2 linked regions of the Macaca fascicularis genome follow. Each later gene encodes a partner of the first gene's protein in a complex. Links are inferred from orthologs where the notes say so. Each region holds a gene or a part of one and is shown in the gene's direction. Other genes may lie near its edges.

The links. Proteins that work in one complex are often made in the same cells at the same time.
Region 2: the proteins of AP3D1 (region 1) and AP3S1 are in contact, whole or in part, in a cryo-EM structure (PDB 9C5C), measured with the Homo sapiens proteins. The link is inferred for Macaca fascicularis from reciprocal best matches to the Homo sapiens genes AP3D1 and AP3S1. Residues at the interface, in NP_003929.4 of Homo sapiens: Leu18, Gln19, Val22, Arg26, Cys60, Thr63, Tyr64, Gln66, Met67, Leu68, Gly69, Tyr70, Asp71, Ile72, Ser73, Lys87, Phe88, Thr89, Arg92, Ile93, Leu96, Gln100, His103, Tyr126, Leu132, Thr133, Ser136, Tyr161, Lys164, Lys165; in NP_001275.1 of Homo sapiens: Met1, Lys13, Pro14, Arg15, Leu16, Ser17, Lys18, Phe19, Pro22, Tyr23, Glu25, Asp26, Gln28, Gln29, Arg42, Asp43, Glu44, Asn45, Val46, Cys47, Asn48, Phe49, Ser80, Glu81, Ser82, Glu83, Leu84, Gly85, Leu87, Asp88.

Annotation. Positions count from the first base shown.
Region 1 is NC_088393.1:2,798,455-2,802,724, reverse strand, and holds the start of AP3D1 (AP-3 complex subunit delta-1), read left to right. Parts: upstream 1-1,365; 5' UTR 1,366-1,586; coding exon 1,587-1,682; exon of another isoform or gene 1,683-2,091; intron 2,092-4,270. UniProt on the Homo sapiens protein: Part of the AP-3 complex, an adaptor-related complex which is not clathrin-associated. The complex is associated with the Golgi region as well as more peripheral structures.
Region 2 is NC_088380.1:122,490,696-122,494,451, forward strand, and holds part of AP3S1 (AP-3 complex subunit sigma-1), read left to right. Parts: intron 1-469; coding exon 470-577; intron 578-3,756. UniProt on the Homo sapiens protein: Part of the AP-3 complex, an adaptor-related complex which is not clathrin-associated. The complex is associated with the Golgi region as well as more peripheral structures.

The DNA of each region.
Region 1 (4,270 bases):
CAGATATAAGTATTATAAACATCTTACCCCAGTTTTTTTGTTTTGTTTTGTTTTGTTTGAGACAGAGTCTTGCTCTGTTGCCCAGGGTACAGTGCAGTGGCACTATCTCAGCTCACTACAACCTCCGCCTCCTGGGTTCATGAGATACTTCTGCCTCAGCTTCCCAAGTAGCTGGGATTACAGGCACATGCCACCACGCCCAGCTAATTTTTGTATTTTTAGTAGAGATGGGGTTTCACTATATTGGCCAGGCTAGTCTCAAACTCTTGACCTCATTATCCACCCGCCTTGGCCTCCCAAAGTGCTGGGATTACAGGTGTGAGCTGCCGCGCCTGGCCCATCTTACCCCAGTTTTTATTGCTGATACTTTCTCTCTTTTTTTTTAGACGGAGTCTTGCTCTGTTGCCAGGCTGGAGTGCAGTGGCGCCATCTTGGCTAACCGCAACCTCCGCCTTCCGGGTTGAAGCGATTCTCCTGTCTCAGCCGCCCAAGTAGCTGAGATTACAGGTGCCCACCATCACAGCCAGCTAATTTTTGTATTTTTAGTAGAGACGGGGTTTCACCATGTTGGCCTGGCTGGTCTCGAACTCCTGACCTCAAGTGATCTTCCCGCTTTGGCCTCTCAAAGTGCTGGGATGACAGGCATGAGCCACCGCGCCTGGCCGAGCTTAAAGTTTTTTTTTACAATCTCAGTGATGTATCTCGGAGGGCAGGGACTCAGTATATCTCATTTACTGCTGCATGCCCAGCGCCCCTTACCATGCCTGGCACACAGTGGGCCCTCGACAAATGTTTATTGAATGAATGACAATGTCGTAGTCTTGTCTCTGGCCTCATTTTCTTCCTGTGGGCATGTTAATCTCTGTCTTGCCCATTTCACAGGATGTTGTGAGGCTGCAGGAACCACAGGACCCGTTCCCCCACCCGCCCAGGCGTTGGGTTTGGAGGCTCTCAGGACGCGTCAGCTTTTACATTCAGGAAAGGCGGAGCTCCAGTCTTCCCCGAGAACTTGCCGGCTAAGCTCCACGTGGGCACCCCGCCCACATCCAGCCACGCCCACACCCGTCAGCTGATGGGAGGGTCAGGACCAGACTCTAAGGGCGTGGCTAGAGCCCAGAACGAGGAAGAAGGCGGAGTTCCGGAGGTCACTGACCAATGAAAGCGCAGGTCTTTTGGCCGGAAAAGGCGGGGCCGCGAGCCGGAGAAGGTGGTGCCACATTTCCATTGGGATACCTGTCGTCGTCAGGGAAATGAAGCGTCTCCCCGCCAGGGAGGTGAAGGGGCGGGGCTTCCTGGGAGGTGGGGCTTCTGAGGCCGGCTCGGCTGGGACCGGGCGCTCACGGTCAGCTGACCGGCCGCCATCTTGTCCGCCATTTGCAAGTGGCCCGGAGCAAGATCGCGGCACCTGCCGAGCGGGTTGCCACCTCTGCGGCGGTCCTTGGACCCCGCCGCCGCCCTGGCCTGGGAGCCTGCCCCGCCGCAGCGGCCGGCAGCGCAGCGCTCCGCGGGCGGCAGGCGCGGACCCCAGGCCCCCTCACGGCGCCCAGCCGCGGGCCTCCCGGGGCAAAAGCCCGTGGGCCGCCGCGATGGCCCTCAAGATGGTGAAGGGCAGCATCGACCGCATGTTCGACAAGAATCTGCAGGACTTGGTCCGCGGCATCCGTAACCACAAGGAGGACGAGGTGAGCCTGGCGCGCCAAGGGGCGGCTCGGCCTGGTCACCGCCCCAGCCCCGGGCCCAGCGCTGCTCACTGGGCCTGCTCGGCCCGGGCTCTGTCTTAGTTCGAGGTCCCGCTCTCGGCCTCGGCCCTGCCTGGCCTGGGCCTGGGGCGCCGCCCTCGTCTTCGGTCCCTCAGCCTCAGTTTACCCCCGAGGGGCGAAGGCCTTAGAGCAGCACGTCTAGGGTCCTCGCCTCATCGGATCACCACGGGGAAGCGCTGTTCAAAATGCAATGCTCTGAGCCCCGCCGATGCGTGCTCTCCCCCTGGACCCTCAGTTTACTCGCTCAGAGGGAGATTCGGGCCCACCTCCCGCTTGGCTCGGGTGACCCTCCCAGGAGACTTCCGAGGTCCTTGGACAGAGTTTCTCCAACGTGAGTGTGTTTCCGAATCACCGATTAAAAATGCAGGAGCCCGGGCCCCGCCCCCGGACCCTCCCTGGGAGACCGGGGCAGGGGGTCCTGGGCCGCCCCTGGAGAAACTCCTTCCTTCTGGGTAGTGTAAATGCGTGTCCAGGTTGCTGCCTGGGGCCTGGCTCGGAACCGGGCAGGGTCTTGGGGCCTTGCCTCCAGTGCCCCGGTTCCCAGGAAGGCGAGGCTGCTGCTGGGAAGGAGGGAGGACAGCGGCATCCTAAGCCCGAGTGAGGTAGCAGCCTGGGGGAACCTGGAATGGGGAAGCTAACTTCAAGTAGGAACCTGAAAGCCAGCGCGAGGAAACGGTTTTCCAGAAGTAAAATTACAACTATGGGGATCGTTTCCTTCCCGCTTCTCCCCTCCCCCAACCTGTGACCTAGATTGAAAAAGAATGGGCACAGTGGCCAGCAAGCGTCTTGCTTCCTTGAAGGATACCCATGCAGCCCTTGGGCAGTGGGAGCCTTAGAAAGTGTCCTACCTGAGGACTGCCTGTCTGCTTCCCTGCGTGGACAGCAAGGCCGGCCTGAAGGAGATCCGCCTCTGATACCGCACCAGTCCCAGTGCCAGAGGCTGTGTCCCGGACGAGGTGCCCAGGAGGGCAGGGAAGTGAAGGGGTTTGCTTGCAGGCTCTGTGTCCCTCAGCCCATTGCCCCTCTCCCTGGGAACCTGAGCTCTTGCCGGATTGTTACACCTTTACACTTTTCTGGAAGTGGTGTGGCTTCGCCTGCCCCCACCTTAATGAGGTCATTTTTGTTCTTCTCCACCCCCCTTACCTTCGGCCTCCTTGGTTTTCATCATCTCAGAAGCTCTGCCTAACTGCTTTGGTTACAATGTGTAACTAACTGGAGTAATGTTCAGATTCTTTGTGAGTTGAAAGCGTGGCTGATGGGCCTGCTTTTACTGTACTGAGCGTGGTTCACCAGATTGGAAATGTGCTTTGCTTCCCGAGAGGCCTTTTTCTGCACAGGCAGGATCTCCCAGTGCCCGTCCCTGTCCCTGTCAGCACATGTCACTGAGCAGCCTGTTCTGGAATCCTGAGGATGGGCCGGGGGGGTTTGTCCAGTGGAGGACCACACCTCTAGTCTGGGGCGTGGTTTTCAGGGGGATGTGCCTGTCTTCACTGGGAAGCTCCTGAGCCTGGGTTTCTTCCTTTGGAATTGGTGTGAGTTCATAGCGCTTTCCCTATAAGCATGGGCCCCTTCAAGGGGGTATTGGTGGTGGAAACATTTTTTTTTTTTTTTTTTTTTTGAGAAAGAGTTTTGCTCTTGTTGCCCAGGCCGGAGTGCAAAGGCATGATCTTGGCTCACTGCAACCTTTGCCTCCCAGGTTCAAGCAATTCTCCTGCCCCAGCCTCCTGAGTAGCTGGGATTACAGGCATACGCCACCACGCCCAGCTATTTTTTTTTTTTTGTATCTTTAGTAGAGAGGGGGTTTCACCATGTTGGTCCGGCTGGTCTCTAACTCCTGACCTCAGGTGATCCGCCCGCCTCAGCCTCCCAAAGTGTTAGGATTACAGGTGTGAGCCACTGCATCCGGCTGGGAAACAATTTTAAACGGCGCAGCGCGTCCTTGAAAGTCCCAGACTTCCTCATGGGCCCTGCCGTTGGCCAGTGGGTGATTTCAGACAGGACGTGTGGTGTCTGGGGACCCGGCTTTCTCGCCAGAAGACCGTTGTTGTGGCCCAGAGGGTCGTAACTCAGCTGTTCATGTCTGATTCTGGATGTTGTCTGCAGCTGCTGGAGTCTCCTGATTGGAGAGCAGCAAATGACTGTTCAGTGACGGTTCTAGCCGTCCCCCCAGCACCCGCACTCACTCTGAAAACGCAGCTACCCTGTAGACCGTATGTTGTGGGCTCTTCCCTCCCACCCACCGCGCCCGGAACGAAGACTCTAGATGGTGTGCGTTTTCTGCGGCAGTATAGTTTCCAAAAACAGTTTCCATTTCGTAATGGATTTTCCCCTAAAACTTGAGCGTGGCATCATGGAAGCGAGGCTCAGCCGTGACTTTGAAAGCGGCGTGGAAAGGCAGCGCGATGGAGTGGAAATGGCGTGAGGTTTGGGAAATCCGAGTCCAGGTGCTTGGCTGAGTGGCTGACTTCCTGGGGCGGCCCATGGAGAGCCCCCTGCTCTGTCTCCTTCTG
Region 2 (3,756 bases), on another chromosome or scaffold:
AGAAGTACTGTGTTACATTGCTTCATTAAGTACAATGAGTAAAATAACAACCTAATTATTGTTGGCTACGAATCTGGCATAAAAGACCCTTATAAATCATATTTTAGTATTAAACTTGACATAATAAGAATGGTAGTTAATATTTACTAGTCATTTACTTTGTTTTGAGTACTGCGTTGGATTACCTTATTCCTTTCAACAGTCCTATGAAGCTAGTACTATTGTTTTTGTTTTATAGCCTATTAAGCTCATTAACTTAATGTTTTATAGCCTATTAACTTAAGGGGGTTATATAACTGCCTAGGACTTCACAGTAGTGATGAAAGTGGATTATGAGCCCTTACTCCAAGTTGTTTTTACCACTCATACATTTAATATAGATGAAGTGGTATTTGAAACAAAAAGTGAATCATGAAACTTCTTTTTAGTCAGTTTTCTTTATGGGTATATGTTCTTTTATTTCCTTTAGGTTCACAATATTCTTGCAGAAATGGTGATGGGGGGAATGGTATTGGAGACAAACATGAATGAGATTGTTACACAAATTGATGCACAAAATAAGCTGGAAAAATCTGAGGTAAGAATGGAAAATGCTATAGTTAAGAAAGGTTCTAAGCATGATGACAGATTACGCATGATTTGTAGCTTTCACTGTTTGTCCTTCAGTATCACCCTTTAGGTTCAGCCGTTATGCTCATTCAGTTTTTAAAAAATTGAATATACACATATTAGTATGCTAAAGGTTCTGTGACTATTATCTGCCAAACCGCTTTGTGTATTCTTCTTTTAGCCACAGTCATAGCTGCCTTGGGTAATAAGCACAATTCCAAATCTTATTGCTTAAAAGAATTATCTGAATAATGGAATCTAATATTTGCTTTGTAAAACATCAGTAATTATCAAGGAAGTCTTAGAACTAATATTTTAAAGATATATAAATTTTGTGTTACAAAACTACTTCTGGAAAGGGCAGGGACAGGAAATGGAATTCTTATAAGGAAGTAAGTAATGTTTCAAATTATAAATAAATGCCTAGCATGTTTGAGTTCACATTCAAAAAAGAAATTCAATACCTTAATCTTTTAATTCTAGATCTTTCCCTAAGATTTCACTGACAAGTTAGTTAAGTCACATATTTTAGACATTGGTACATAAATATCCGTGGTTTTTATTGCATTCTATAGGATTGGTTTGTTATACTTAGCTAACTTTCTGCTGTTAGATTCAACCTTAGATTGGATAAATGAGGAACAACCAGCACTTTAGCATTGTATAAAAACCCTACTTCAGAATTTTAGTGACTCTTCCCTCAAGCACTAGTCTGAATATCAGTAGCAGGTGCTGTAGCTGAGCCGCCCGGGTTCACATTATTTGGGTTGTTTATTACCCTAGCAGAGGTTTAGAAAGAGCAATAGTTTTATCACTTGAGGTCAGGAGTTCGAGACTGGCCTGGCCAACATGGTGAAACCCTGTCTCTACAAAAAAAAAAAAAAATTAGCTGGGCATGTAGAGCGCACCTGTAATCCCAGCTACTCGGGAGGCTGAGGCACAAGAATCACTTGAACCCTGGAGATGGAGGTTGCAGTGAGCCAAGATCACGTCGCTGCACTCCTGGGCAACAGAGTGAAACTTCATCTCAAAAAAAAAAAAAAGATCAATAATTTTTTGATATCTCATTCACCACCCAGCTGGTTTGAGGATACTCTTAAATTTGGTATTTGCAGTCATAACTCAGATTGGAAAAAACAAACTTTATTTATAATTATTAGTGTTAAGCTCAGATGTTCTGTTGATTTAAAGTAAATATTACTATGAAAACATCAAGGTATTAAAAATACACTGGCATTAATTTACAACAGGTGAGTTCTGAAAAATTTATCTTGTTGGCATTTTAAAGGATCAGTTTAACTCAATTCTGTGCCCATTTTAATTGAAGAAAACGCAGAATGAAGAATAAATTTGAAATCTAGAAACAGTTGAAGCTTTCTTATAAAAACATTTTCCAATGTTCTCTTTTAAATAAAATAGTATTGCATTTTTATCTCAATTTCCCATTCCTGTTGGTTTCCCAAAGGAGAAGTTTATAATGGTGATTTAGAGCTAAGATTCTCTTAAGTAACTATACATTTTGTTTGTCCTATAGCCAATTTTTAAAATATTGGCTTTTGAAAGTGGAAAACATAAATTAGGTTAATAGAGAAAATTTTGTTTTGGGACAAGGAAAAAGACTCATAATTTAATTTAGTATAACTGACTTGCAATATATTATTTAGTAAAGAAAAGGTTACTGTAAACCCTGAGCTATTGCTTTTAAAGTTTTAAAAGAACTTAAAATATGTGTCATTTGTTAAACATTGCTTTGCAAAACTGTATGGTTATAGATTTTAAATGCCAAGGGACAAACAGTTATGCAATCCTTTAATAACTGGTATAATGAATGAGTATCTAGTAATTTGTGAATTCTGTATAATCATCTATAAAAAGTATGACCAGTTGTCTGGAATTTTCACCTTTCCAGGTACTTAACTCCTTTCCATTGGTGGTGGTCCTTCTTTTTCTTCTGCTACTTAACACATTTATGCCTAGTGTTCCGTTATTGGAATGCTAAGCTTGTGGGAGTTATTTGTATCCTACTGTTCAGGGTCATCCCCAAGGTCTGATTTTTCACAAAAAAAAGTTTGCAACCTCTGACATAAATGGGTTAATGTGCTATATTGACGAAAGTCATGAAGGACCTATAATTATTGCATAATGGGTATTTGCTTTTTGATTGTTGAATAAAACTTCGTTAATGAGGCAATTTTTCTTATCTATAAAGAGCAGTAAAATGTAATTTACATTTCAATGGAAATAGTTATAAGAATACTATAACTTAAAATCCATTCACAGAAATAATGCTATTTAAAATAGTTTAGAATACTGGTGATTACTTCTATTTTTCATTCCCTGATCATCTTGCATCATACATAATTGTTAGCTCGTACCAAATTAGTTTCTCTTTTTTTGTCTTTTACAAGAAAGTATGTTTTAAGTTTGATTGGAGATAAACCACAAAATTATATATTTTCTATACATGTAATGTCTGCTAATATTTTAGTTATGAAATCGGATTTCAAATCAAAGTGAGGCCATTTAGTCCTGATCATCTTTTTAAAACAGCACTGAAAAGTATGATGACTAATTTTTCAGTAGCTTTCATATATTTTAAGTATGTTTGAACGACGTCTAGCTTTATTCCAGAAACATTGAAATGTCAAAAGCTTTCATATGTTTCATGTCCATGTTACTTCAATTGGTTAAATTTATCAGAGATATTACTCTGCAGAATAATCCAAAATTACTTGAAAGCAAAGTATAAACTTTTACTAATCTTCTTACTAAATTTCAGTTAAAATTTATTATATAAGCATAAACTTAAAAGACTTGTTTGGCTGGGCGCAGTGGCTCACACCTGTAATCTCAGCACTTTGGGAGGCCAAAGCAAGCAGATCACCTGAGGTCAGGAGTTTGAGACCAGCCTGGCAAACATGGTGAAACCCCGTCTCTACTAAAAATACAAAAAAAAAAATTATCCGGGCATGGTGGTACTTGCCTGTAATCCCAGTCGCTCTGGAGCCTGAGACACAAGAATCGCCCGAATCTGGAAGGCGGAGGTTGCCGTGAGCCAAGATTGCACCGATGCACTCCAGCCTGGGTGACAGAGTAAGACTCCATCTCAAAAACAAACACAAAAAAAGACTCTTTTAAAATCAAGAA